Linked DNA regions of Lepisosteus oculatus. The protein of the gene in region 2 interacts with the protein of the main gene of each other region in a pairwise test. Links are inferred from orthologs where the notes say so. Each region holds a gene or a part of one and is shown on either strand. Other genes may lie near its edges. The genes, in order: c4h10orf88, lnx2a, 5-phosphohydroxy-L-lysine phospho-lyase-like and nmd3.

Region 1 (7,368 bases), on a different chromosome or scaffold from region 2:
TCATGGCTGAAAGGAACAGAGGCCAAGAGTACCGACGCCAGCTCAGATAGATCACTCACACTGTTGAGAACGAGGAGGATTATACATCGGCCACCGACACTAGCTCCGCTGCTGAACCCGACACAGACCGCGCTCCTAGTGTTAGCAAGCGTCGGAAAAGGGCTACAAGGCGGTACGATCCAAATTATCTAAGTGCTATTTTTATTATACGTATGTGTGCGTGTGTGCGCACGCTCATGTTGGTCATTGAGATTCTCTGGGGTTCCTATGAGAAGATGACTTGTAGGTGGTACTTGGATGCTTTGGTTTGATCAGGGGTGGTACTCGGTCCAAAAAGTTTGAGAAGCACTGCTCTAATACATTACAATGGAAATGTTTGACATCTTGAAGAAATCATGGAAATGATTATAGGCTAAACACATCTTTAAATAGATCCTGTAACAATGTACCCATATTAACTTCATACTCACTGGAGCTCTGAGGCTGGCTTGTTCACAGGTATGCTGTCCTCAATGCGCAGCTGTGTTACCTGACCACACACGCTCTGTAGGACAGGTAGCAATTCAGGGCTAAAGCTACACTGCTTCCTCCTGGCCTGACCGTTCAGAAAGGATGATATCACATCTGTATATATCTGTTCAGAAGAATTAGTATTCACTGTTGGAAGCTGCTGTTCTCCAGTGGCTGAAGTCTTATCTATGCAGGTACTATTCACAATGCTGGGAGCATCAGCACTTTCTGACTTGCTCTCTTGGGCAGGCAGTGGATCTGTGCACTGGATGTCCCTGGAGGTGTGCAAGTCTGTGTGTGCTGTTGATCGGGACTCTGAGCCTCCTTTCACCAGAGCTGCCAGTGGTCCACTGCCCAACAGAAGAGGCAGAAATCCCCCCAGGGCATCAGGTTTATTCTGGAAAAATGAAAGGTGTAGTATTAGTCTTCATGTAATGCAAGCCATCATAAAACATTCTGCTGAACTCCTCACACTTGCAAACAGCCTTGTGTTTATATCCTCTACCTCCTGCTGAAACTGCACCATGTCCATGAGGTTCTGCGCTCCGGGAGAGAGGGTGGTACCCATGGACTCCATCATGGCCCGCACACGCTGCAGGTCAATGCTGCTCCCCACACAAGGGGGGCTCCCCAGTTTCCCAGCAGGCTTCACTCCCACTACGATCCTACTGATTCCCACTTTCTTTTTGCCACCAAGAGACAGCAGCTGAGCAAAGAGAAACACACCAGTTAAAAACACTTCAGTTTTATCATCCCATAAAAGAGCCAACAAAAAAAAACAGCAATGAAGTGTATTTGGGGGGATGTTGATGTAGAAAACAAAACACAAAAAGCGGTTTTGTGTTGAGATTGATGACATGTTTTAGTCGGTACGAACTTTACTAAACACTAATAGACAGTTTAGGTCATTGCAATCTCAGTAAACACAACCACAGGTGACGCTAATCTACGTCCTAAAACACTGATGGATACAGATTCACAATACAGAAACAATAAAGAAGTAATATATCCTCAATGGCCATGCTGCTAAATCATTTTTTTTTGTTTCCTGCTCCTCCTGTTTACAGATAACTTCCAACAACATTAGAGACACAACGTAGGAACTTACCTTCACTTCACAAGATCTAGAAGGACTGTCTAATTTTAGTTGTTTCCGATACAAGGAAATGCTGTCGCTAACACTGAAAAGACAAGAAAAAGATCCCCGAATGTTTCTTCCGATCACGCTGCATTTCAACCGTTATCAGCGATCACATTAGTAAGAGCGGTTATCGAGACAGAAAAGCAAAGGCGCACCCGTTGATTTGCAGGCTGCTAACTCGCTCGCCTCGGCAGGTACCGCAGTACTCGGACCCACAATACACTTCCATGGTCCGCGCTTCACTCACGACCTGCAGCCAGGCCATGTCAGAGCAAGAGCCGGGGGCGCACTGCAGTCGCAGCTCGCAGGGGAGCATTTCGTCCTCGGGGTCCTGCTGTAGGAACACAGGAACGGTCCTGCACAGAAAGACGAGTACAAACCAACACTGCGCTCAGGTACACTGATGAAAAGCAGCAAATTGTCCAGAGTCGCACAGTGTGAATACTTCTCTCTCATAAACGTTGGGGGCGATAATCTAATTCTTACACAAAAGCAAAAGATAACATCGGAACTAAAAGAATAATTACAAGATGTAAACGTTTATTTCTCTCGGTTACACTTTACAGTGTAAAAAAAGCCGATGATATTGAATGACGGCCAAATGCTTAGAAATTAGAAATTACTTACTCGCCGTCTTCGGGGTAATCCCCAGGGTTGTTCCCGGTTTGGAGAGACAAGATGTCTTCATGAGAAGACGAAGAGAAAACCCAGGACGAGTGCGCCGTGACCAGTCCATCTTTACTGCCGATCACACACTGCCTGGCCATCTTTGGTTAAAGTAACCAGACACCGTCCCTACTCCAGTCCGTGACTCCCAGCATGCATGGTTCAAACAAACCGAAAGCTAATACTACTTTGGAAAATCCAAATAAAAGAAGGAAGGATTTTAAACCTGATTATAAAATGTTACTTTAAAAGGCAAGAATCTCTTTCCTTGACAGCGGCGTTCAACATGGTTTCCTGCTGTTTTGGTGCCGATAACCGTGCTTTGACTCACACAGAAACCTAAACGTTATTTACCTTCCACTTTGTAACCTGTCATTACTCAGCATCGCCGACAACCGAAGCAAAATAATGAAACTACCCAGCGATTAGTAAATTATTAAAATCTCAGTCAGTGATTAAACCTGGGTATTGTAGTTATCTCACCGTTAAATATCTCACACCGATTAATTTCTCTATCAGTAAAGACATTTTTAAGTTCATTTTAGCATAATAAGGTACATCTTTGCATATTATCACAGAAAGAGACCAGGCGAAGTTAAACCAGAAGAAAACAGCTCACTTAACAGATTTACTAAAATCATCAGAGCAGCGACACCTCTCCAAAAAGACCCAAATCTATAGGGTGTCCATAGCGCGCCTGAGGAAAAAAAAACAGCCTGATCGGTGCCAGCTTCTCCCTTTTCAGTCTTAACAGCTCAACAAGTATTAACATATATGTCGGTAAATATTAAACTTTGTGACGTGACAGGATGTTTGCACTTCTGTGTGCTCCTTGCACTTCTGTAAGCCAGGTCAATTGGAAAAAGGGGAAAAAACAGTAAAGTTGTACAAATTGGCCAACCAGTAAAACATTTAGATTATTCTTTATTGCCACACAACAATAGTTGGTGGAATTTTCTATTGGTACAGCAAGAACACAGATGAGACATGCATACTTTACAATATATACAGTACAAATTTAAATAGGACAGAAGACGGACAAACATTGTCACATACATATATAATTTATAGCCAGCCATATCACCCTGCAACTCACAACTGGCAACCCACTGAAGCTAAGCAGGTGTGAGCCTGCTCAGTACCTGGATGGGAGACCTCCTGGGAAAAACTAAGGTTGCTGCTGGAAGAGATGTTAGTGGGGCCAGTAGGGGGTGCTGGATGGGAGACCTCCTGGGAAAAACTAAGGTTGCTGCTGGAAGAGATGTTAGTGGGGCCAGTAGGGGGTGCTCACCCTGTGGTCCACGTAGGTCCTACTGCCCCAGTATAGTGATGGGGACACTATACTGTTAACAGGCGCTGTCCTTTGGATGAGAGGTAAAACTGAGGTCCTGACTCTGTGGTCGTTAAAAATCCCAGGGTGTTTCAAGTTTCCCATTGGCCCTTACCAATCATGGCCTCCTAATAATCCCCATCTAATAATTGGCTTCATTACTCTGCTCTCCTCCCCACTGATAGCTGATGTGTGGAGCATTCTGGTGCAATATGGCTGCCATTGCATCATCAATTTGGATGCTGCACATAGGTGGTGGTGGAGGGGAGTCCACATTACCTGTAAAGCACTTTGAGTGGAGTGTCCAGAAAAGTGTAAGCAATTATAACGTGTATTCATAGTTCGTATGGCAGTGAGTGGGGCAGAAGCTGAGGTTGAAGTGGGCAGTCCTTGAGAGGAAGGATTTGGAACGTATTCCAGAAGGGAGAAACTGAAAGAGATTATGAGTTGGGTGAGAGGGGTCAGAGATGATTTTCTTGGCACGATTGGAGTTGTGGCTTGAATAGAGAGATGAGATAGAAGGGAGTTCACAGCCAACACTTTTTGCAGCTTTGGACACAATCCTTTCCAGTTTGCCTTTTGGGTAGTTATCCAAGCTCCCATACCAGACTTTAATAGAGGTTGTCAGAACACTTTGGATTATGGCTGTGTTGAACTGAAGGAGGAGTTAGCGGTTCACTCTGTGTTTTTTTGAGTTGCCTTAGAAAAAACATCCTCTACTGTGCTTTCTTGACTATGTGGTCAGTGTTGGTACTCAATTTAAGATCACTGTTTATATATGTACCCAGAAATTTAAAGGAGTTTGTGGTCTCTCTAGGAACATCATTAATAACGATTAGACGTTTTGTGTTCTGGATGCGTCGGAAGTCAACAATGTATTTCCCTGGTTTTAGAAGCGTTGAGTAGAAGGTCATTGTCCAAACACCAGGCTGTTCCCAAGTCAATCTGCTTTCGATAACAAGTCTCATCATTATTCGAGATGAGTCCAAGTGAAACTACAGCTCATTTGGTCTGGACATTTAACTGCTTTAAATGAGCTGGACATTTTTTTTCTTTACTCTTATGAGCACATTTAATGTTGTTCGATACCCCATCTGCTTGTGTTATAGTTTGATTCATTGTTACATGTGGCAGGATTCTTAATAGTAATTTGTTTTTAATTATTTTGCTAAGTTTGAAGTGTTTTATTAGATAGCAACCAACATTTTTTTTCAGGTGTTAATAGCATGCAATGAATAACATCTAATGCAGATCTATGCGAACCGCAGCTCTTCAGTGTGCCGTATTATTTAATTTTTCTACAAATGTTGCTCTTTAATCATATATGTAATTAGTTATTAGTATCAGTACAGCAGTTTAAGAGCTGCTTATATGAAAGTACTGCAATTTAAAGCATTGGAATGGCCACGAGGTTAGTGGTCATGATCAAGAAGGAACCTTATGAAGTTCACCATTTGTCTGCTCTTTGCCTTGATTTAAAGCCTGCTACAAAATATTTAAGATGGTATAGCTATTCCATATTTTCTTAAGCTATAATAATAATAATAATAATTGCTTACACTTATATAGCGCTTTTCTGGACACTCCACTCAAAGCGCTTTACAGGTAATGGGGTTCCCCTCCACCACCACCAATGTGTAGCATCCACCTGGATGATGCGACGGCAGCCATAGTGCGCCAGAACGCTCACCACACATCAGCTATCAGTGGGGAGGAGAGCAGAGTAATGTAGCCAATTCATAGAAGCTACTAGGAGACTGCCATATTGTTATTCTTATGTAAAAAACAGTTGTGTAGCTCACCAAGTCATCTGCTGCAAACACGAACAGATACTTTTTTAGGTAGTTAAATACTCTCCTGCTACTATGATTTCTTTTCAGAACTCTGCTTTACTTTCTCATATGGATTTTCTTATTTATAAGTCGGAGTGCGTTGGCGCCCACTGGTGGCTATGTTCTGTAATTCCACCTTTCTCCTGCTGACTTGACAATTCAATTCAAAATACTTTATCCCCAGGGGGAAATGTAGGCAGTAAGAGGTGAAACATACAGCATATAACTAATACAACAACATTACAAAGAAAAAATATACACATAAAAATCAACAAACGGACCATAAATGTAGTTGAAATAACAGCGTGTATTAGTTAAGAAGGTATTGAAGTACTGTACTGTACACATTTGTAGACGGTGCACTGTCCAATTGACAGCCTATATATAAAACCTCTTTACATTAATTTTTTGCAAATCTGATGGCCTCTGGAACAAAGCTTACTCTCATTTTATTTGTTTTAAATGTGAACGCCGAAAAGTCTTCATGGAGGCAAAAGATCAAAAGGCTGATGAAGGATGTGAAATGGCTCTTCACTGATGGCACAGATCTTCCTCAGGCTCTCCTGGGCCAGAGGTTTTACAGGCTTATCAGAGTTTTCAGAGCTGAGCTTCACTACCTGCAGAAACCGGTTCTTGTCTTTTTGACTGAGTGAAGTGAAGCAACAGATAAATGAAAAAGGTTTAAATACTTTCGATAAGAGCTAATAATTCTGTATTAACGGAACTGTTCTGAACAGTATATCATCTAAAGCTCGACCATCTCTGAAGGGCGGAAGAAACCCAGTTCGTCATTTTTCATTTTCGTGTTTTACTACATTGTAACGCAACGGGGGCTCAGGCGGGCGCCCTTGCCGTATTAGGTCGACCCCCCACTGCCGGGACTCCCGCGTCACTCTGCAGGGACCCAGGCCGGTGAGCCAAAGAGAGATCTCTCTACAGAGCACTAGCTGTAGTCCTGCTATCACAGGGAAGGGCGGTGACGTCACCTGCTCTGGTACGCCGGCTCTTACAGAGTACCTGTCGGCCGTAAGCGTTACAATATGTATCAAGGACCATTATGGAACTGAAATAAGGTTTAGGTTGTTTATTGTTTTAAACGTACTTCAAATTACATTTCATTCTTCGCTTTTGATAGTCAATAATTCTCTGGCAAAGAAAATAAGTTCAAAATGATTTTGATCCTTGAAACAGGTTGGCAAGTTTTCTTCCGGCATAATATGCTGCGGGATATTCTATTTTATATAAACCGGTGTTACCCGTTCTACATTCCTGTTGCTAATTACAAATTGTGTTCAAAGGCCATTGTCAGCGCCTGATCCAGTATGAGCTGTCTCTAGCACACTCACTGTACTTTTCCAATTACAGCGGCACACTCCCACCCGGAAGACAGCACCTCACCTAGAAATCTTCTGTTCACTCTGTGCCCTTTTAACTTAATGGCATAGAAGCACTGCTGGATTATTCATAATGTTAGAACGAAGTCTTTTCTTATTCTCCTTTTTTATTTGTTTTATAAATCGAAGTCAAGCTACAGGTAAGACAACGTTCCAAATATATTCATTAAGAAAATCCTGTCCAAATTAAACAGTCCGAGATTACAGTTATCATAAAACTACAGGTAAACTTATCATTTAGACATTAAGATGTTCTTATTTTTAGGCATGATTAATAATGACTTAATTTGTATTAATCACCGTGGCAAATATTGTGTATTCACTAATTAATTTTATATGTTTTATTTACAGTTATGGAAAAGCGTAGTTTCACTTCAGCCATGAAATCTGATCTCTAAATTTAAAAGAAGTGTAACAGGTGTGACCAAAAATTGGTCAATCAAAATTGACTTGGGGATTATTTTCTGAAATACTGAAATATTGTTTTTAAACTGA
Region 2 (7,000 bases):
TAATAGGTTTAATGAAAATGAATAGCTGAATCCTGACTGCAGTCTGATGGGGGAAGAGTAGCACAGTAAACATAAATCTGGCTTCCAGATTCCAGCTATGTGGTTTGCGAGAGACAGCTACCATTAGGGCAATCCGGAGACAAGGAGTCAATCAATCCCACAGCATCAATAACTGATGCAATAAACTGTCTTTAATAGTAACGATGGACATTGATCTTCCAGATACCTTTATCCCCAACAACATATTGAGACAACAGAGGAAAAGCTGTGCTCAATAATGTGCTCTGCAGAAGAATCACAACAGGATCCTGGCTTTACATACTCTCCTAGACATTTTGCATTGTTCTTCTCCTTTCACTCAAGTGCTTTTCCATCTTTTGCAGAAACACACTCCTACGACGATTTTCAATGGAAACTGAACCCAATTTTTTAATAGCTAATAGTTCATCCTGGGAGATCAATGAACTGTAGCATAAAAAGAAGTTTTCTCAACATAAGGGATGTGAATAGAGCACCTGACAAAGGTGATTAATGATGAAGAGGACCTGACAAAGAGTGACTTAGAACTGACTGGAACGCGTGATACCACTTTCATTGCTATTAGAGATGATTTATTGCACTTCGGACCCCTTTGATGTACCACTGCGTACAGTGGGTCTGTGCAGGAAGCAGGATTACAAGACTCATGTCCTCATTAGCATTCTGAGCCCAGAACACTCTTGTATACGTTCCAGACCTCCAGCCCTCTCTCCTTGCCACCCCCTAGCAGCTCCAATGTCACCTGAGATCTCTTTGACCAGATAAAGCCGATGCAGGGAGCTACCCAGCCCGGCTGTTCAGACGGCCTGCCCTCAAAAAACTGCTCTGCCTTGATCGCTACAGGAGGCTTCAGGTGGAAAGGTCAGTGGAAAAGACACATGTTGGCAAAAGAGGAGTGCTGAGCTCCTAGAGCCAAAGAGCCTGACAAGTGTTCCACTGCTTGGCACAAGGTCACGCTGCAAAAATGCGTTTTGACTCGCACAAACTGGAGAAAAAAAAAAGCATTTGTTCCTCCAGAACAACAACCTATTGTGGAATGTTATGCTTATGGGTAGCAGCGGAGGTTCTTTCGCAGGGTGCTTCTTTGTGATAAAACAGCGTACCACGCCGTCAAAGCTCGGCTGTGACAGCAGCAAGGGCAAAGATTCTGAAATGAAACCAGCCTTGTATATCAACAGCCTGGTTTTCCTGGCTTGTTCTTCCCCTACATTATTGTGCAAGGTTCAACTCTGAGCGGAGTAAAGCAAGACTCAAGACAAACCACCCGGCCCAAGCTTCATGCCAGGCTCTTCAGAGAAACAGGCATGCAGTTTGAATTTAAACACCAGTTTGTGTAAGATCTGTTTTACAACTGTCACACAACCTACAAATTACTTTGCAGCTGTAGCTCGATGCCAGATAACTCCAGCGAGTCTCTCGTTCTCCCAGGGAATCTGTTACTTTTACTCTAAATCCACGCTGCATGTTGGAGGAATCCGGCGGAAATGGTCACTGGGTTTTCGTCTAGTGTTAGTGGACACATGGGGCGTCTGTCCACACGAACAGCCTCCTCACATGCCCACAGCTGCCTGTCCCCATAGAGACCACTGCCCTGCGGACACCAATCTGCCCTCTGCACCCCGAGGCTCCAATCCGACACAAGATGTCTGACCTCTGTCCGCGCTCCTCACCACCCTGTAGGACTGCGAGAGAGCGCAAACTGCCAGGACTAGGTCGCTAAATCTTTTAACACCACATCAGTGCAACTGTACAGAGCTTGAAATGAAAAATACCATTATATAAGCCAGAACATATATATATTGCATCTGGTGCACTGACCTGAAAAGCCTTGGAGTTCAATTCATCTTTTATAGTCTCTGTGCAAGAGCGTGCACACTATACACTGGGAGCACACTATATTTCAGAAAATCTAGGCCACACTGTGTGTAGCATGCAGGCTTGCATTTTACACCTCAGATAAATGACACAATTACCGCACATTTTAAAACACAGACAAATTATGACTGCTATAAGGTGTGCCCAGCGTGTGCTTTTCATGCATCATGAATTTCAAAGAACGCTGATCCTCCGAGCAATTCATTCGCGGCACCAGGCTGCGACTAGACAATGCCGTCGAAGTAGGGAAAGCGAAGTCCACCAACAGTTATTGTTCTCTAGGTGTTGCTTTGTTCACACAAAGTCGTTGTCATTCTCCTTGAAACTCAAGGGGTGCCCCCACCGTGGCTGGATGACAAGCAACCAACGCAGAGGAAAGCGTGCACTGAGTCCGCCGTCTCAGATCTGTCAGCAGGAATGCCAGTGAGGAACCGGGGAATTTGATACAGATGGCGTTTAACATTGAGCACTGAAATCGATATTTCGTCTAAATGTCTTTGTTACCTACTATGTTCGCTGCTCGTTTAACCTATATACTGTACGGCAACAAAGAACTGTACCTCAAATCATGGACACATCTTTGAAAGTGCTCACTGTTCATAGCAGACTGTACAGCTGTTTTCTACGGCTTGTCACCTAAGCGAAGCATCCATCACGTTCACTTAAAGAAAGGGGGTGTAAGTAACACATGCAGATCATGTATTATCAAATAATATCCGCCTATTGACAAGCAGTACAATTTACACTACACTCCCCAAGAAGAGTACGATGAGACACTTTGAAAAAATTCACGTTTTTTTTTCTGTCCTCCTGAACAAAGTAACTATTTCGAATCGTGGCGGAGGCGGCGACATTCTTATTTTAAAATTTTAAACGCATACCGGACGAACAAATGAATACCGCAGTACATTACCTATTACAGCGTGCCCACCACCCCCTCTTCGCCGCCGCCCTTCTGTGAACTCCAGCTCGGACCTGGGACAATTCTGCGGCTCAATCAAAACTCACTTGAGCCACACAGGGCACGACCGCACGGCGGACTGACGCCCTCGCCGCCTACCGGGGGAGGAGAACCGCCCCACCCGCCCTCCTGCCCAGAGCTCACCGGAGAGGGGCGGGGCCGGCGTGATGTCATGGTAGCAGGAAGCGCCCTGCACCCCCTCACAGCGCCTGACTCAAAACACAGCCGCCTCGGTGCTTTGCTAAGCGATCGCTCCCCGGAGCACCGCCTATTCATGGCTGCCGCACCAAGAAGTCGCTTTAAAAAATGATCTGAGCGCCACGTAGGCCAAAGAATGCTTTTCTGCGATCACTCAGTGCGATTTTAGCGCTGGCGACGCAGTACGGCATCTGCGAGGGCACCAATCGCGGAGGGGTCCTACTGGTCCTGGAAGCTCTTGTTTAGGAAGTTGGAGCAGACGGCGTTGAGTGCTGTCGTTTCGTTTCGTCTCGTCTCGTCTCGGCGTGTGGTATTTGAAATGGAGGAGGATCGAGAGCTGGAGAAGTGAGTACAGCGGTGGAAAATGTCGACAGATTTGAACATTAAATGTTGAAACAGCGTGCTGGTTTCGAAAGAGTTGGAGCCGCGGCCGCTGGTTGTCGGCTGAAGCAGGTATCACTGCGTACTGTGCTGATCACGGCATCAGTACCGCTTCCTTAATGTGCTGTAATTAATGCTTCCAATGACTTTAATATTAATACGAGTAATTCGAAATAATCAAAAATCATTAACGAAACACTTAGTGAACTATTGTACTTGCAGTTAGCGCTTTACCATATATCAGTTTGTTTACAACGGAATAAATTACTAGTAATACCACCCGAGAGCTTGTTAATGTTGCGTTCTTCAATTCTTAACACGTTGAATGAACTGGCTGATCTGTTACTGTGTTGTTGATCCTTGCTCATTTTATTATAATACTCTAATAAAATATTTTACTACAGGACTAACCATACCGATCGTCTGAACTTATTAAATACTCACGTTAAAAAAAACGTCCTGTGCATTGCTCAATAATTCAATGAATTTTCTATTACACGTGTAATAGGAGAACATACTAAAAGGTTGAGGTAAGCTGTTAGTAACTATACATGTCTGATATGTATCGCACACTACTATGATCACCGCTCGGAAGCTGGCGAAGATCAGACATTTTTTTACGTTGTCACCTATTATGGGTAAAACCACAGTTTTGTACAACATTAACAGTCAAAACTAATTAGACAGTTTCCATGGAATGAAACTAAGAACAGAAGTTCGTTACAGTCTTAAGAAGTGGAATTTGGAAGATCATTAATGATATGTAACAGATTTTTTTCGAATTATTTTTTCAGCAGTTTTAGTGCATTTTTTAAGAGAAGAATGAATTAATATAAAGCTGTAGAGAATGTAGTGTATATGTTCCTGAAAACCTGCTGCTGATGAAGTTTTTTCACTTTAGATCAATGGTGCTTCATATCATGTTTGCTGTACATGCTAATTTCAATTTGGCATGCAGCTGTGAATAGATTTCTCTTTTTTTTTAAGAAGGAATGAGTAAATTATATTATTATTCCATATGGCAATCCACCAAAACAAACTTAGAAAAGAACTGCTGACAAGAGCAGATGTAGCTGTCAGAGCACAGATTCTGCATTTCAAAGGGCAAAGATGTCAGGGCAAAAGCTCATTATGAATTTTTCATTGTAAATATAGTCCTTGTGGTGGTTTAGAAAACATTATAATTATAATTATCCCATATTCCTGACTTTTCGGTGTTTATACAGCTCAGTATAAAGTAGTTGACTGCTTGCCAGGCCAGAATGATTTAATACTGTAGTTGTTAAATGTTGCCACACTAGATTAAATGACATGTTTTCCTTAAACCTGATTCATAAGTAGGGGTGAGAGAGAATGTCTTGGGACTCCCAGAAGGAAGCTTTGTGTTCTGCTTTTCGGCTGTTTTTGCCACAGCAAGCACTTCATAGGTCAGTCTTGGAATTACAGCCCTCTAGCTTTGTGAAGCAAAATTTCAATTCATAAAACATTTCTACTTGTCAAATTAATTGTTACACATTGATTGCAGTATCGCAGTAAATACGGAATTGTGATTTGCTATTAAACCAGTTTAAATTAGTGTTAGGTGTGAATTTATTCAACGCTTTGACCCGCTGGCCAGTCAGTAGCACCATTCCTGATATTTGACAGTGGCCGTTTGTTTGACACATTTCCTGCTTCTACTCAATGAAAACCTGCCATCCAGCACCTAGTGCGCCATTTTTATTGGTCGAAGTTTAGATTTATTCTGAGAGGCGGCCATTTACACCTGCATGATAAGCTGGAGTGGTCTGGTAACACTGACGCCCTGTACAAGAAAGGTCAGAGCCAACTCTATTTTCTTAGGAGACTCAGGTCCTTTGGTGTGTGTGGAACACTGCTACACATTTTTTATGAATCAGTGGTGGCGGCGGCCATCTTCTACGCTGTGGTGTGCTGGGGCAGCAGCATCATGACAAAAGATGCAAATAGGCTCAATAAACTCATCAAGAAGGCTGGCACTGTGCTGGGGATGAGCCTTGACCCCATGGAGGTGATGGCTGAGAGGAGAATGCTGACCAAGCTCACAGCCATCATGAACAACACCTCTCGTCCTCTTCATGGGACTGTTACTGGGCAGCGGAGCACATTTAGCAATAGACTGCTCCAGCTACGGTGTTCAAGGGAACGTTTCCGCATGTCTTTCCTGTCTTTCCAGCTGTCAGGGTGTATAACGCTGCCTTAGGCTAGGACTGTTAGCCCTTCATTTGCTCCTCTATGGACAGCATGTTTGCTCCATTGTACGTTTTGGACAATCAGTCTGTATAAACCTATGCACATTTTGCACATATTTTATTGTTTTTACAGTGACTATGATCAGCACATTTTGCACACACCTATGTATTTATTTTTATTTATCTTGTTTGTCTTTTGTTTTATAACTATTCTGATGTCTGTTTTGCTTGTCTTGGGCTGGACTGCTGTAACACATCAATTTCCCTATGGGATTAATAAAGTATTATCTATCTATTTAGCATTTGTACTAATTCTGCACATTTCAGAATACTTTGCGGTGAAATATAAAATGTTTTGTGGCTGTGCTGGAGTGCAATCGCAATGCTTAAGGGTGGCAGCTCACCTAGCACTGTTCAGCCATAAACTCACCCCCGCTGCCAGTGAGGGCTGTACTGAGGAGGCAGGCTGGGCAGATCCACACTTGGGGCACATTGTGCTGGGGTAGAGGATGACAGCTGCCCAGCAGTTGGTATGCCCTGTCACTGATGGGTGTCATAACAGATGGTGTGAAACAGCTGGCTCAAAACCAGGGTCCTGTATTCAGTTCAGCGTGGTGTCAGATTGCAGCATTGGAGAGAACAAGAGGTCTGTCTTGAATTCAGATTGGCGTACCTTTTATTCATAGCTTTAGCAAAACCCAAAAAATATATTTGCGTGAGACAAAAGCACAGCCTCATTCAGTTTCAGAATCATTTGACAGTTTTATAACCTGCATCTCAAGCTTTAATATTAGAAAAAGAGGTTGATATTGCACCCCCAACAGCTAAGTTAAACTTAAATTATCCATCTTAAACTCTGTAAAGCAAGTCTTTAGTTATAACATAAATGTTTAACGCTGGCTGTGCAAATTTATAGTTGTTATAACTGGTATTGCTAAAATTCTGTAACACATGTTGATTTGGAGATCCCTGTAACACTTTGCCTACAGTGTCTTTAGAGCTGCTGTCTATAGCAAGGTTGAGCACTCAGTACAGCCTTGCAGTATAAAAGCCTTTTTTATGATTTCTTCCTGAATAGGAGAGCTGTGGATGAGCTTCTCAACGAGGCAAAGCGAGGGAGGATCCGGGCAGAGACTATGGGCCCTGCTGGCTGGTAAGACACACAGACATGTGCCAGTGTGCTGTGCTCTGGGACTTCCCTGCCACAGTTGGCAGGAATAACCTGCCACACCATTTTGACCAATTTTGATCAAATACTCAGTTTTGTCAAATAAAGAAAGAAGTGTTTAAACAGATGGCCATTTTCATAATGTCCCTGTTTAAGGGACTAATAAGG
Region 3 (7,322 bases), on a different chromosome or scaffold from region 2:
AAAGTACGTTTCCTTTTTTTTTTACACAGGGAGTTTGGAAAGGTTGGCCCCATCGGTAGACCGGTACCCCGCCACAGTCACACTGAACAGACACCGAAGCGAGCCTCTTACCCACAGTTCAATCACCGCTCCGGTCTGCCGCCGCCTGTCTTACCCAGAGTTGACGAAGTAGAAGACTTGGAGCTTTTCCGGCAGCGTCTCCGAAAGTCTCGCCGCGTACTGGACCAGGTTGTCGTGGAGGAACCGGGTGTTCGTGTTCTGCAGCTGCATCTGCGCGGCCGCTGCCTGCGCCACTGCGGGGTGGCAGTGCCCCACTGCGAGAGAGCCAGGGACAGCGCGGTCAGAGTCCGCCCGGACCCCCAAGCCACCCCCTCTGGGGCGCCGAAGCCGGTCAGACGTTTACGACAAAAAAAATAATAATAATGTCCAGCTGTCAACAGACTCAACTATTACAAACTCCGTGAAAGAAAAAAAAACCAACGAAAGGATATATAAACCTCTTCTTAATCTGAATTACTTTTTTAATCTTCTTAAATACGTCATGTATTGTCACACACAGATTTGTTAAGTGCCTTGGGGCACCCTTGTCGTGAAAGGGACTATATACAAATAAACTGAATTGAATTCTTAATTTGTAATAGCAATATTAAGCATATTTTTAATAATAATAATAATAATAATAATAATAATAATAATAATAATAATAATAATAGCTTACACGTATATAGCGCTTTTCTGGACACTCCACTCAAAGCGCTTCACAGGTAAGGGGGACTCCCCTCCACCAGTGTGCAGCCCCACCTGGATGATGTGACGGCAGCCATAGTGTGCCAGAATGCTCACCACACATCAGCTATCAGTGGGGAGGAGAGCAGAGTAATGAGGCCGTTTCATAGAGGGGGACTATTAGTTGGCCATGATTGGTAAGGGCCATTTGGGAAATGGGAAATTTGGCCGGGACGCCAGGGTTACACCCCTACTCTTTTCGAGAAACACCCTGGGATTTTTAATGACCACAGAGAGTCAGGACCACGGTTTTACATCTCATCCGAAGGCCTGCGCCTGTTTACAGTATAGTGTCCCTGTCACTCTACTGGGGCATTAGGACCCACATGGACTGCAGGGTGAGCGCCCCCTGCTGGCCCCACTAACACCACTTTCAGCAGCAACCTTAGCTTTCCCAGGAGTCTCCTATCCAGGTACTGACCAGGCTCACACCTGCTGAGCTTCAGTGGGTTGCCAGTTGTGAGTTGCAGGGTGATATGTTTGCTGTTTTCGTGACAGTCAGCACTACTGTTAGTGACTTTTGTAAGAGGATGGCAACTAAGCAACCCAAGCAATCATGCAAAATTCTGCCGTACACAAATGATTGCAAATCATTTGAAAAATGATCATCTGTGCTGTGCTTAGATATCTGGTTTATAGAGGCATGGGATTGGCAGGATATTACATTAACAATTTCCAGCATAATCCCTTGTTTTCCTGCGTGGATGTGCACGTTTAGGGTGTTTTTATGTATAAACAGCTGTGACTTGGACTGCCAGGGTTACCGGCTGAGGCAGAATGACATCAGCGCTGGACTCTCCTGGATGCTCAGTTTAAATAAATCGGCACGCTCGCTGGGATAACCATTTATGTTAGTGGACATTTCAGCTACTGAAAATAAATGTTTTAACTAGCATTCTCAACGGTGACATGCAGCATTTCTGCAATTGGAAGCACCATTTGAAAATGTTTCAAAGATTCCTAATACTTTAATTTGATTAATCATCAAAGAAAGGGTTTTTAAAGGCAGAATTCCACACTAGTTCTCAATACTATTTCATGCAGTTACGGCTAGATGCTTTCGACGGTCCACCTGAACAGTGGTTTCAACGCTGCCTTACCGTGATGGACATTACTGATACAGTCCAGGTAGCGCCTTCCCTTCTCATCGTACAAGTACTGTCCCTGGGCTTTCACGATCTTCACCGGCTCCTCGGAGAAGAACAGCCGGCAGGACGAGCTGGGAGGAAGTGACAGTGAGTCCGCTCTGCAGACTGAACACTTTTACAAGAGCACAACCTACACCCTGACCAGTACTACATCATCTGAGGAACAAGTAATAGGTTTATTCCATGATGAAAAAAAGAAGAAAGAAAACCTAACATTTCGGCCGTGGAGCCTTCTTCAGGTGTGACATTCTGAGGGATTTTTAACTTGTTTTTTTTTCTCAGGGAGGGCGTTACTTAAAAGCACGTGCTGTGCATCGCCGTCGTTCAGATATGAACTTTTATAGAAGAGCATTTTCCAACCTTTGGAATTAACGTCGGAGTCCGGGAATATTTCGCTCAGGCTAATACTAGATGGACAGCCTCTTTATGCACTCACCCAATCAACTTCTTGCGCATCGCTAATGTGTCTTCTTTGCTGTAGAGCGCCATGGTCAACACTTTTGCGAGACTTTTTGTTTCTACAAACTCCTGGAACATCAATCACTACTGCTGCCCGTCAAACCTCTCCGCGTATGACGTCAAGCTGAGACCTGCCACGGACTGCAAACTTCTTCCCGGCTACGTCACAGTCATGCGCAGTACCTAGGAAGACGCCCCACCGAGCCTGGCCGCCCCTCTCGGTCACATGACAGCCTCCCAGCGTTCACCTGGTAACTGCCAGTTTATGCGACGTCACGCAGACAAAGGGCCTATGTCCAATTTTCTAAACCTTCAGCTGTCTATTTCTGTTTCAATATTCTGTCTCCTTTCTTGTATTTTGTATTGCCAAATATTTTTTGCTTTTCAACCTTTAAAACTCTTATTTTAAATAGACTAAATTTGAATAGAAAAAGTCTATTCAAAGTTTCTGTAGCGCATTAATCAGTCGAAAAATACTTCCTATCCGTCCTTTGAAAAGTCCAAAGTTTCTTTACAAGCTTTACTAAGCTGGAGACTTCGTGAAGTGCCAAAACAGCAATCTGTCGCTAAAATAACCAACACTATTCACTGATAATACACTCGTAACGTTAAGTAAACTATTTCGGTTACGAGGCATGAATTCATTCGGAGATGTAGATTCTAGTAAAAGTAGCAAATATAGTAACATTGATGATAGGAAAAAGAACAATGCATTGATACATAATTCAGAATCAATCATGATACAGAATCAATTATAACGAAAACTGAGTTCCCTGTTTTTTAATCAGATTCGTACCATTCAACACGCGAACACTTAGTGTAACCTTTCAACACCGCGTTCAAAAATAACGAAGACGCCACTGTTTTAGAAGTCGTGCTTAACAAAAAAACGACATGACTGAAAATGTTTAGAAGTGAACAACTGGGGAAAATAAAAACTGTAAAACAATATGTTGATGCAGGCCATTTGCACTCACCAGTTTTGGAGAAATGTATGATACGCCCCGTCTTGTGGGCTCCCTGCAGGTGAAGAGTCCGGCACTACAGATCGTGCATCTGACAATGCCCGAGTCACATTATTTCACAGAGGTTTAAAACTTTCAAAAGGCAAGGACCACCAAACCAATGGCAGTTTACAATTAATCAAGTAATGGAAAAGCAGGTTTCCGTAGTGTAGTGGTTATCACGTTCGCCTAACACGCGAAAGGTCCTCGGTTCGAAACCGGGCGGAAACACATTTTATCGCCCGCTGTAGTGTGTGTCTCTAGGTCTTAAATAAGCACTGAGGCATCCATAGAGGCATCCGTTGAAATGCACGGCTAGTATCCGTTGAACGTCGTTTTAATTTCATGAAACGAATCCTCTGTGCGCCCTGAAATTTATCCTGACAAGCTTTTTATATACGGTGTTCTCTATTCTTGGCGAAAATAACAGGAATAATTTTAAACGGACGACATTTTCCCGTCATTCAAAAACGACAGCAGTGCACTGGAATTTTGACAAAGGACCACTTTCACCAGGGACAGAGGTACAGTATTTCGCCATGCAGTTCAAAGCTATTTTAAAAAGGTACTTTCTGCAAGAACTTTCAAGCAAAAAGTCGTGTTTCCGCCCGGTTTCGAACCGAGGACCTTTCGCGTGTTAGGCGAACGTGATAACCACTACACTACGGAAACCTCCGTGACACTTATGGGAACACTTAGTCGTCTTCATGGCATTTCAGCACGTTTCACCCGCACACAACGAAACTTTTTATCATCCCGGAAATTATGATCCCGAATATAATTCATACGTCAGATACATGACTAATACTCTTAAAAAGTAAACAGTTACTTAATACTCAAATTTAAAACGAACAGGAGCTGTTTCCGCCCGGTTTCGAACCGGGGACCTTTCGCGTGTGAGGCGAACGTGATAACCACTACACTACGGAAACCCAGCTGTTTCGGGACCCTTAGAAGCTGCTTTTTTCAGGTTAATATCTTTCACGTATCAGTGAACTGTGCTTTAATTTCTCTCCCTAGTTTCTATGCGACACTCATGATCACACCGCCATGTCTATTAACGGTAAAGTCACTTTTGATTAAAAAAAGGTTCGCTTGGGTAACCGGTCTCTGAAAAGCTCGTCATACGCCGCTTCGTGGAAAGTAGTTTTATCTTTCCACGAAGAGGTGTTAGTGGGGCCAGCAGGGGGCGCTCACCCTGCGGTCCATGTGGGTCCTAATGCCCCAGTATAGTGACGGGGACACTATACTGTAAACAGGCGCCGTCCTTCGGATGAGACGTAAAACCGAGGTCCTGACTCTCTGTGGTCATTAAAAATCCCAGGGCGTCTCTCGAAAGGAGTAGGGATGTAACCCCGGCGTCCTGGCCAAATTTCCCCATTGGTTTACCCATCATGGCCTCCTAATAATCCCCATCTCTGAACTGGCTTCATTACTCTGCTCTCCTCCCCACTGAGAGCTGGTGTGTGGTGAGCGTTCTGGCGCACTATGGCTGCCGTCGCATCATCCAGGTGGAGCTGCACACTGGTGGTGGTGGAGGGGAGACCCCATTACCTGTAAAGCGCTTTGAGTGGAGTGTCCAGAAAAGCGCTATATAAGTTTAAGCAATTATTATTATTATTATCTGAGTTCTTCCAATGAGAGAGAAGACGCGCAAATATTTTGCCTCCCAATTTTAGCGATATTTTTGGTCACAGGGACCCCAAAACTTTCTTTTTTTTCGTGGAAAGATGAACACCTTACATATTTCTGGCACAAACCCTGTTTTAAAAGTATTTTTCGCTCCAAAAACTGTCTGTATCTTGAGTGAAGCCCTCATGGACTGAAACGCTAATACTGATTCGAAAATTCTTAAGGGTAAGTTTAGTAAGGTTAAGGGTAAGGTTAGTAAACAAAATTGATAAGACTTTTGTCACCAAGTTTCCGTAGTGTAGTGGTTATCACGTTCGCCTCACACGCGAAAGGTCCCCGGTTCGAAACCGGGCGGAAACACAACGTTTTGCTTAAAATTTTTTTTTTTGGCTGAAACATTTGTTAGAAATGCTTAGAAATCTGCCTACCTCGGAATTCATCTCTGTACTGCCACGAAATGTCTGAAATTGATCCAAAACTGGGACCGTGTTGTAAAAAGTACATTGTCTCCTGGGGGACACTAACCTCACTATAATAAAGCGAGAACATAAAACAGAAAGTTAATTCATTGAAAATTTGACAAAAGCCCAGATAAATTGAAATATATGTAACGGAACAAGTAAAACGTTTATCCCATGCTGAAAAAGGGAAGAGAGAAAACACAACGTTTCGGTTGGCTGAAGTTTAATTATACTGCATACATTTCCTGATCAGTTTAAAGCGATCAAGTTTAATAGAAACGATGTTATTGTTGACGTGGGAAAACCATTTTTTTTCAACTTCTCGGTGTAGTGCAGAATTCGGTATTTATATCTAAAACTAATATTTACTCACATTTATATATGTATGTGTGATACAGTCCTTCTCTAGGCTGATAGTGAAGCACTCTTTGTACAGTAGGTGGCGCTGTTAGTTCTGTTAATACGCCCCAGCTGGGGAAGCGAGGCTCCTAATCCTTGTTAATTGGTCATTAAAGAAACCGAGGAGCCTGCCATTGAAGAATCATCCAGTGGACTGGGTTTGTGAGACACCAGGAGCGTAGAGTTTTTTGGGTGACAGGTCAGGACATGTCAGGCCAGTGTCACTGACTGCTTATCAGGGCAAATAGCAGGGCTGTTCATCTCAGCGCCTGGGGCAAATTGAAGTTCAAAGCACGTCTGGGTGTCAAGGAGAGCTCCAACCTGGGCTTCACTGCTCAAGCCACGTCTTTTGTGGCTGTTATTTCAGCTCAGTTCGCTCTGTTCTTTATCAGTGCAGACTGGTTGCCAACAAAGGAACATCGCTAAAACAATAGGTTACTCAAATGCGTAGTTTGCCCGGATTTCCAATCGGTGCGACACGTGTATCAGTCGAGGAAGACTGCAGAAGCTCCTTACTCCTTCACGTTACTGCACTGTCTTTCTGCACTTGGTCAGACACATGTGAAACATGTTAACGCAGAATGACCTCTGTTGTACCGGACATTAATTATGGCAACTGCTCCGTAGTTTGCCATGGGCACCTCTAAGAGGGGCAGATTTTTCAAAGGCAGAGAACACGGACATTTCCAGAGCAACGCCTAGGTATCCGGGAGGGGAAAAAAAAGAGAGAAATCAGAAATTGCACATGAAGTGACTTGTAAAGAGCATGGAAAGATTTCTAGCTGAAGGTGTTGAGTGCGGGAAATGTAGGACTACAAAACCCGATCCGTGGAAGGATACAGTGTCAGAGAAAGAGGACATTGCCGAAGGATTAATACAACCTGTCAATTCGTTACACTTCAGTAATAGCGATGGGCTTACAAATCCGCAATACAGTAGAGGAGTTCACTGCCATATGCACACGGGCACTGGAATTCTGATTTGTGCCAATCTGCCTACACAGTACAGCAGACAACACCACAATTAGAATAAACTATAACGACCAGAACAATAAATATGCAGTAGTAGATAACAAAATCTACTACAGACTGCAGTGAGCCACTGCAGTCTGCAGCAGGGTCGAAGCTGGGCTGGAGTCCAACGGTCTGTGCCCGGGATGGCTGGGGTCCTGTATGATGGATTGGGCTTTATTGCAACAGCAGACGGTGTGAATTTTACAGTATCCAAGTTGCTACGTGAATCCAAACAATGTATAACTAATCAGGCAGCTGGGACTATTATTCTAATCTTAATCAGATAAGATCACTGTATTGGCCATATACAGTTTCTTGTATTAGGAATTTGTCTTTTCACAGACCCCAACTTGCTCTCCATGAGACACACAGACAGGGAGAGAAGCTGGGGGTCAGAGCGCAGGGTCAGCCATTTATACA
Region 4 (7,703 bases), on a different chromosome or scaffold from region 2:
TATGCTCTTCTTAATCAGTTATCTTTTTACCTCAAAGAGAAAAATAAACAATGAATAAATACTGATCATTGAGGTTACTTTATCAATAAATGTTATTGATTTTCTTTTGCTTTCTTGTCAGAAACCCCTCAAATTGCAAAATACACATGTGCAATCCTTAGAATTTAGATCCTGTGACATTTAGGTGTTATATTAAATGTAGAACAATATGAATGTCATTTTATTGCAGAACAAGTTCTGTTCTGGTATACGGCACCTTCAAAACCTACACAACATGACATGATCCTTCTACCTGCACAACAAAACTTTAAGAACTTGCGTCTTTAGAAAGGCTTTCCAAGATTGAAGACAAGGAACGATGGGAGCGTTCAGGATTCTCGCCACGTACTCTGGTATCAGTATGGGGACGTCAGCTGATCACACAGCTGTGAAGCCACCCAACATGGGCAGAGCTGAGGAGATTTGGCAGGGCTTCGGCATCATGCTCAATTTGCATTATCATCCACATCGCTGCCTAAGACCAATCAAGAGGAAGCTGGCCACCAGCTGAGAGACTCATCCAAGCTAGTACATCCACAATGGTGCCTTCTTCCTGAAGAAGGCTCCACAGGCAAAAGGTTGAGTTTCTTTTCTTCCCGTTTCAGCAGGGAATAAACCTTTACTTGTTCCTTTGCAGCCTACGCATGCTGACGCAGCTCCCTACTTGAACTACTTCATCCATAAGGGTGTGTGATTATCAAGCAAGAAGATTTCTAAGGATGGTCAAGGGAAATGTTGAAATAGGAGTGACTTCAAAAAACAAAATAGGAAATGTTCTAGAGACTGCACAAAAAGTGCATGGACATCTTACTTTTCAGAATGTAATCAAATTCTGCTCATAATCCACCTGAATCTGACCCCTGATCTCACCAACATTACAGAAATCCAATCTATATTGAAGTATGAACTCCCTATAGGGAACCTGTTACATGCATAACATTATAATTGAAGGCATGCATTATAGTGTATGCTGCCATGGAAAATTACACAATGGGGATACTGTGCTATAAAAAGAACTGTATAAATTATAGTTTTTCATTTATTCAGTTTTACCTTCTTCCCCATTTAGCTTTGGTTAATTTAAAAAAGTTGAATACTATTCTAAGGATTTATCTGCACGGTTTATTACTCTGACTAAACGCTAGAACTTTGATATGTCAGCATTTAAAATAACACTGGCAAATGTCAAGTATTGTTTAAAGAGCATCATTCACATGGCACACTGATGTAGTTATCCTTTAAGGATCTCTCTTTGCACTGAAGCAGACTGTCACCTTTTCTTCTTCAAGGCACTGAAAAAGGGCACAGTGCTTTTCTTGCATATTTACAGACTCTTTAATACTTCATTAACATTTCAGCTGCATTCTTTGTGTTGCAACATAGGCGAAACAATACATTACTAATCTGTTTTTACACAGTACCAAAGGCATATCCTGAGACACAGTTTACAAGAACCTAAGCACAAAGCCTAGAACTATTGGAATGGTGAATGGGAAACTGAAGTTGTTTAGGCTGCTTTCTAGAACAGGAATTGCAACTCAATTATGCAATTATAAGTATTTTTTGGCTTGCTTGTTAGATGACATTGTCATTTCAAAATAAAATATTAGTTTGAAACAGCAAAACAAATGCATAAGAGAGAATCGAAAACGCCCAATGCAAACGATTTCAGTGAACATCGAAAAAAAAGAAACACTAAATAGTCCTTTTACATACTGGTCTTAACTGGACATCAGGATATAATTTTAAAATTCACATTTTTGGCCGGATATACTGTACTAAGTTTTTTTTTTTTTGCAGTCGTTGGTGTACTCTACATTTAGTAACAGTTTTACGTGAACAAGAAAATACGTTTTTTGTGACTCCCAAAAAGCTAACCTGTGAGTATTCAAGCTTATAATAATAATTATTCTACAATAATAAATGCAATTGTTTCAAAGATAACCGAATTTTTCTTCTTACACTAGCTTTAACATTGACTCAGGACCCATCTCTTCCAGCATAACTACTTTATTTACTGAAAAGGAAAAACATAAATTACCTTAACATAAGATTAACATAATTTGAGCACACTATGGGTGAGAAGCACTGCCTTACCTTTTCACACGTGTGTATCACTGTACATCTGCTTATGTTAACCCACCGTCTTACCCTTTCAATACTATCTATCCTTAAGTGACACCAGAAGACAAAGTAGGAACTTTTGATTTAAATTGATGCACCATGGACACTATTATGGTGGACGTATTATGGATTTTAGGTACCTCTATGAACGGTACTACATTGCAAAAGGGTGATGAGTGTCTTAAAGGCTCAGACTGTAATCTCAGATTGTTCAAATGTATTTGTATTAATTCATAGCTCATTTTTATGGAATAAACCATAGATTAATGTAAAAATAGAACAATCCCCTACACGTAGATCTTTTCAAATCGTCTATGAGAGCTTCCAGGGGAGCTACAGTGTAATCACTCACTGAATTACTGTTTAGAGCTTTTAAATACCGTATTCTTTAATTAAATTAGTACCGCATATTCCAAGTGAGGCGCTGTTAACCTGTTTTCCACCATTTTTGCGACATGCCCGGTCTGACTTAATTTGAGGCGTGCTACACTACAGATGGCTCTCTGTCTGATTGGTCTGGTGAAAGTGAAAATTTTTAAAATGCACAGGCATTTGGGAGCTGGCTCGACTCTGCGAATTTACTGCCCGTCGGTAAGAAAAATAAAATGTAGTACGACTGGAGTACTTTCCGTAGCCCTAACCCCGGCGCGGTCAATAAGGTGCGATTGCAATATCAAATCCTGCCGAGTATTTACACATCAAGACTAAACAAATATCTATTTCCCGAATAAATCACAATTCAGTCAGGTGTGTGGGTGGGAAGCTTATATAACAGATTGTAAAGCAGAAATTTATCAACGAGCGTGTCTCGCCGTGCTCTATCACTTCGACGTCCGACACACAGTACAGACGGATGTGAACTGCGGCACAAGCGGGCTAAGAATACGTCCTGCGCGGCTTTAAAAAACTTGAATCACGCCTGGCGATAAACACGGCATGAAAACACTGAGCACGTTACATTTTCGCGGGTGGGTAAGGGGGAACCGACCGTCTGTCGGCCCGGCAGCAGTTTTCATTCAGAGCTTAAGAAGGACAGTTTTACCTCTCCACCGTGGCCATCGAAAATGCCAAATATGGATGGGTGGCTCCTGTTGACATAATCGGTAATGACTTCAAACCTATCTTCCATGTGATCTCTCCTTCCCTGGATGGAGTAGACCGCTACGTTGTGGTTTTTGAACTCCCAGGTCTTGGAGAATTCCGCCTCCAGGACATCCAGACCCCCGAGCCTGTCGTTCTGCATGATCTCCGCCACCTTCCCCTTGACCATCTTCACCGCATCCCTGCTGGACTTGACGATGGTCTTCACCTCGTCCGTGTGGAAGAAGTAACTCCACAGAGCCAGGCTGATGCACAGCAGGAACAGGGTCTCTGGTCTCAGTAAGAAATAACGCATGATCCTTCCCAAAAGAGACAACAAAGTCATTGTATCTTCTATCATTTATACACGCAGAAACGCGACTGACGACAGCTCCTCCACTCAAAATTTCAGTCCATACTTTGGAGGGCAAACAGTGATGATGGTGATAATAATAATAATAATAATAATAATAATAATAATAATAATAATAATAAAAATCAGGGTCGATTCACCAGAAAGCTGCGCATCCGTTATGTACAAGTGATTATGCAGCAGTAGCGGTGCTCAACACGGGATCCGAAGACGCTGCAGAATCGGTGTCGGTACCGCTGATGTTCCCTAAAACTGTAGCCAAATGCCCCACATTGAAGGCTGCCATTGAACAGTCTTGCCTTTCACGCAACCGAGACCCCTAGGAGACGCCGCTCCAACCATGTGCGCGATGCGGGGCAGTTAAAGGACACGGGGACCGCCTTCCGAGAGAGGCTGCTTCCGAGCCCCGCCACTGACAAGCGAATTGACGACCGCCTGCACGCCGCCGCCGCCGCTCTCCGATCAGCACCTCCTCACACAAAGCGAGCGGCCAGGCGCCGCTGCAGCATTCCCCTCGGTGGACCCTACCATTCGGGTCCGGGCGGGGTGGGGCGCTCCGGAACCGCGGCGCTCAGGACGGGGCAGGCGACACGGGGCACAGCCGGGCTCCTGCACGCTCCAGCCCGTGACCACAGAGAGAAGGGGTCAGAGACCCCCCCCCCCCGTTCACGGATCACGGGGTCCCCGCCGCCGCCGCCTGAGAGGTCGCCCCCCTTTAAGTTTTTTTTTTGTTTTGTTCTCCCTCGACGGGCATTTTCTACGGGGAACCCGTCCTACGGCTAGCGAAAAGGCACAGACAGAATAAAACGGGAGCGGACTCCGTATCGGCAAAGAGTTTACGGGGGGGAAGCGGAGAGATTTGCAAACCATCTTTTCATCTCAAGTGCATATCCCCTCCCACACACACACACATTATAACTCATTAATTGTTACAAAAAATAAACCTGACGGGACATTTAATTGATTGTATCATTGGCGGGTATTTAAATACTAATAGTGTGGAGAATTGGAAATGGTGTTCGCCGGGGAAAGTCCAATCACACTGACATTAGAAGATTTTTGCCACCTGTCAGAGTCAGTCTCGCAGTATCTGCACCATTACACTAGTCTCCAGGAATTCAAAGACTTCAAAAATATGATGATACATTGGAAGAACCGGTCTGTATAGTAATTACTCTTTATATAAAACAACGGTATATGCTTTGGAATGCATTTAACCATAATGTTAAACTAACTTCACTTTTAATCGAAAGGCTGTTTTAGAACAGGTTCGAATTATATGCTTTCATTGAAAACAATGTAACTTATTGTATTGCTATGATTCTCTCACCAAAGATGATCATTTAATATTCTCCATTCTCCATTCTTTAAAACCTCTGTCAAATAAGAAGGGTCGTTAATGGGTTTATTAACGACCCTATTCACGTACAGGTTTATAACGTACAGTATTCACGAAGGTAACATAAAATAAGTACACTTCTTCCAAGAAACTTTCTATTATCACTACTCTTAAATCAGACAAGTGATTATTACAGTACCTTGTAGATTGTATACCATTCTACAAATAGGATTTGGATGATTTGCAAATAGGCAAGTGGAGATGACTTCAGATTATGTTTGCTGCACTATACAGTGTATTTTACATTACTACTCTCCGAATAAAACAGTGACTGGACACTCAGCTCCCTCTACAATAAATAATGTAGAATGTCTTACTTATCCATGGGCTGTATCTAGAGGGAACTCCAATAGAAAAGCTTTAACTGGTACAGAATATACCAGTTACATGTTTAATTTAAATCATTAAATCACCAAGAAGTCAAATGGTGAACAGTTTAAATCAGTTCATGCCAATACTAATTCCTACTGCAAGGAACTGGAATTTCCCTTAAGGATATTATTCATATTATGCAGCAAATTTGCTTTTCAGAAAATATAATCTACCAAAGTTAAGGCAGAAAAACACAACAATGACATAAACTCCAATAATAATCTCGAGTGAGATACCTGAAACTTTAAACTGTATTTTCTATTTCAAGAGATGTTCAAAAAGCATCAAAACTGAAAAAAGCATCGTACCCTGTACTTTCAGAAATTTATTTTTATTTAATATACACCAAGTTTAGATAAAGTATCTACAATTTGGAGTAAAGAATATTAAATGTTATATAACCACTAGTAAGCATGTGAATGTGCCTTTTTACATTATTAAATAAATAGAAGCATTTTTAAATAAATCATTTTTATTCTTTTTCCTCATACCTGACAAACCTGGAGACAGGCGCACTTCTAGACTGCTATAATGAGCACGTAGGGGTCTTTTCACTCCGGCTAGTTGTGTACTACGTCATCAGGCTGTCTTGTGGCTTATGGACAACGTGCAGGGCTGAACGCGTGGTGAGTGAAGACAATTCAACGAGATGAGCATGCATCTTGTTTTTAAGATTGTTAAGTGACACTTAAGTTAATGTAACTCAGCTTGAACAAAATTACTGCTAGGAAGATAACGGCTGTTATTTTGAGGTAAAAGAAGTTCAAGTCGATGTTCAAGTGAATGCGTATAGTTCTGGTTGAGAGAACTACTTAAATTGTGGTGTGGCACATAACTACTTTGAATCGTGGACTATTCTGTCTGCTTGTCAAGCACTTTAAACATTTTTAACTTAATTGCAAATTGTTTAAAAATATTTAGGGAGTGTCACCTCTTAAATGTATAGCGTATTCATTTTGCGATTATGCGATTGGAGGAATTTAAAGAGATATGCAGAATGTGACTTTAAAATGGGAGATGGAAATGACTGAAAATGCAAATAAGCAACCAGAATTCTTTAAAATTGCATACCATGTTTTACTCAGAAATAACAGATATACATTTTGCTTCTCATACTTTAGGTGTATGGGCTGGTTGACGTATTTTTGAAATATTGTATATTATTTGTCCGTTTAAGAGAGAGAAGTGAAGAAGATGGAGTATATGAAAACCCCAGCAAGCAACATTCAGGGCAACATGTGAGTATCGAAGACATGCGTGTGTATTAAAACATCAAAAAGAAATTTGATAGTACAGGGAGATCAGTCCAAGGAAATGCTTTCTGGCAACAGCTGCATGAGAGCAAATCAGTGCATCAGCAACGAGAGTACTTTTGAATAAATCCAGGTTTAATCAGTTTTATCTTTCATTGGGGATAGTTGTTTTAAAGCTAAGTCTGTTAGAAACAAGTTTGTTTTTTGTTTTGATGTAGAATGACAGTTGTTTTACATGAAAATATTTCCCTCTGTTCTCATTTAGTTTGTGCTGTGAGTGTGGTACCCCAATACCCCCGAATCCAGCCAATATGTGTGTTGCTTGTTTGCGAACTCAAGTTGACATCACTGAAGGGATTCCGAAGCAAGTCTCTGTTCATTTTTGCAAGCAGTGCGAAAGGTGCAATTTTTTGTTTTTTCTGTTTTTTTAAATTGTCCAGTTATAGTTCAGACATTTGTAATGTGAGAGTTAATGGCAAGAAACTCAGGCTGTATTGTCACTTAACTGTTTAATGTGTTCACCAGTAACTAGTTTAAACATAAGCGTGATCAGAATTCTATATGTAGTACTTTACCTTAACTACATTTCCAAGTGAATATGGTACTGCATTTTTTTCTCAGGTACCTTCAGCCTCCTGGAACATGGATACAATGTGCTTTAGAATCCAGAGAACTGCTTGCCTTGTGTCTCAAGAAACTGAAAGCATCAATGAGTAAGGTATATAGATATGGTAACTTACTTTGGGTCCTGGTTACATCCATAGTGTATAGTTTTAACTCCATCTGTCTCTTAATTAACACTGTTGTTGTGATAATTCTCATTGATGTTACTGGTTTTGAAAGACATGACTGCAGCTGATAAGATGAAATGTTACAGCTCATTATATATATATAAGATTACCTGTGGTTATTGATTTGGTATACTAGAAATGCCTGAAGAAATATGTCATAACTGTTTTTTTGTCTTGTGAAAGTTGATTTAGTATGAATATAAAATATGCTGGAATATACCCTTCAGTATAATTTATAATAGAGGGGGGTTTTCTCAGTTAGGGCAGTACCA

The links.
Region 1: the proteins of lnx2a (region 2) and c4h10orf88 interact in binary tests that used the Homo sapiens proteins (3 or more experiments, as listed by UniProt). The link is inferred for Lepisosteus oculatus from reciprocal best matches to the Homo sapiens genes LNX2 and C10orf88.
Region 3: the proteins of lnx2a (region 2) and 5-phosphohydroxy-L-lysine phospho-lyase-like interact in binary tests that used the Homo sapiens proteins (3 or more experiments, as listed by UniProt). The link is inferred for Lepisosteus oculatus from reciprocal best matches to the Homo sapiens genes LNX2 and PHYKPL.
Region 4: the proteins of lnx2a (region 2) and nmd3 interact in a two-hybrid assay, tested with the Homo sapiens proteins (3 studies listed by BioGRID and IntAct). The link is inferred for Lepisosteus oculatus from reciprocal best matches to the Homo sapiens genes LNX2 and NMD3.

The regions. Positions count from the first base shown.
Region 1 is NC_090699.1:27,695,336-27,702,703, reverse strand, and holds the start of c4h10orf88 (ATPase PAAT), read right to left. Parts: upstream 3,018-7,368; 5' UTR 2,419-3,017; coding exon 2,279-2,418; intron 2,008-2,278; coding exon 1,807-2,007; intron 1,692-1,806; coding exon 1,619-1,691; intron 1,217-1,618; coding exon 1,016-1,216; intron 908-1,015; coding exon 471-907; intron 1-470. Other genes in the region: adam9b (disintegrin and metalloproteinase domain-containing protein 9), read left to right, coding at 6,947-7,013. UniProt on the Homo sapiens protein: ATPase that regulates mitochondrial ABC transporters ABCB7, ABCB8/MITOSUR and ABCB10. Regulates mitochondrial ferric concentration and heme biosynthesis and plays a role in the maintenance of mitochondrial homeostasis and cell survival.
Region 2 is NC_090700.1:5,626,295-5,633,294, forward strand, and holds the start of lnx2a (ligand of Numb protein X 2a), read right to left. Parts: upstream 3,010-7,000; 5' UTR 2,828-3,009; intron 1-2,827. Other genes in the region: si:ch211-140b10.6 (protein POLR1D), read left to right, coding at 3,393-3,418, 6,743-6,817.
Region 3 is NC_090706.1:30,013,245-30,020,566, forward strand, and holds the start of 5-phosphohydroxy-L-lysine phospho-lyase-like, read right to left. Parts: upstream 3,006-7,322; 5' UTR 2,472-3,005; coding exon 2,371-2,471; intron 2,006-2,370; coding exon 1,887-2,005; intron 841-1,886; exon of another isoform or gene 719-840; intron 315-718; coding exon 155-314; intron 1-154.
Region 4 is NC_090708.1:5,929,979-5,937,681, reverse strand, and holds the start of nmd3 (60S ribosomal export protein NMD3), read left to right. Parts: upstream 1-4,694; 5' UTR 4,695-4,774; intron 4,775-5,897; 5' UTR 5,898-6,013; intron 6,014-6,019; exon of another isoform or gene 6,020-6,139; intron 6,140-6,564; 5' UTR 6,565-6,581; coding exon 6,582-6,625; intron 6,626-6,905; coding exon 6,906-7,040; intron 7,041-7,261; coding exon 7,262-7,358; intron 7,359-7,703. Other genes in the region: ppm1lb (protein phosphatase, Mg2+/Mn2+ dependent, 1Lb), read right to left, coding at 3,206-3,604. UniProt on the Homo sapiens protein: Acts as an adapter for the XPO1/CRM1-mediated export of the 60S ribosomal subunit.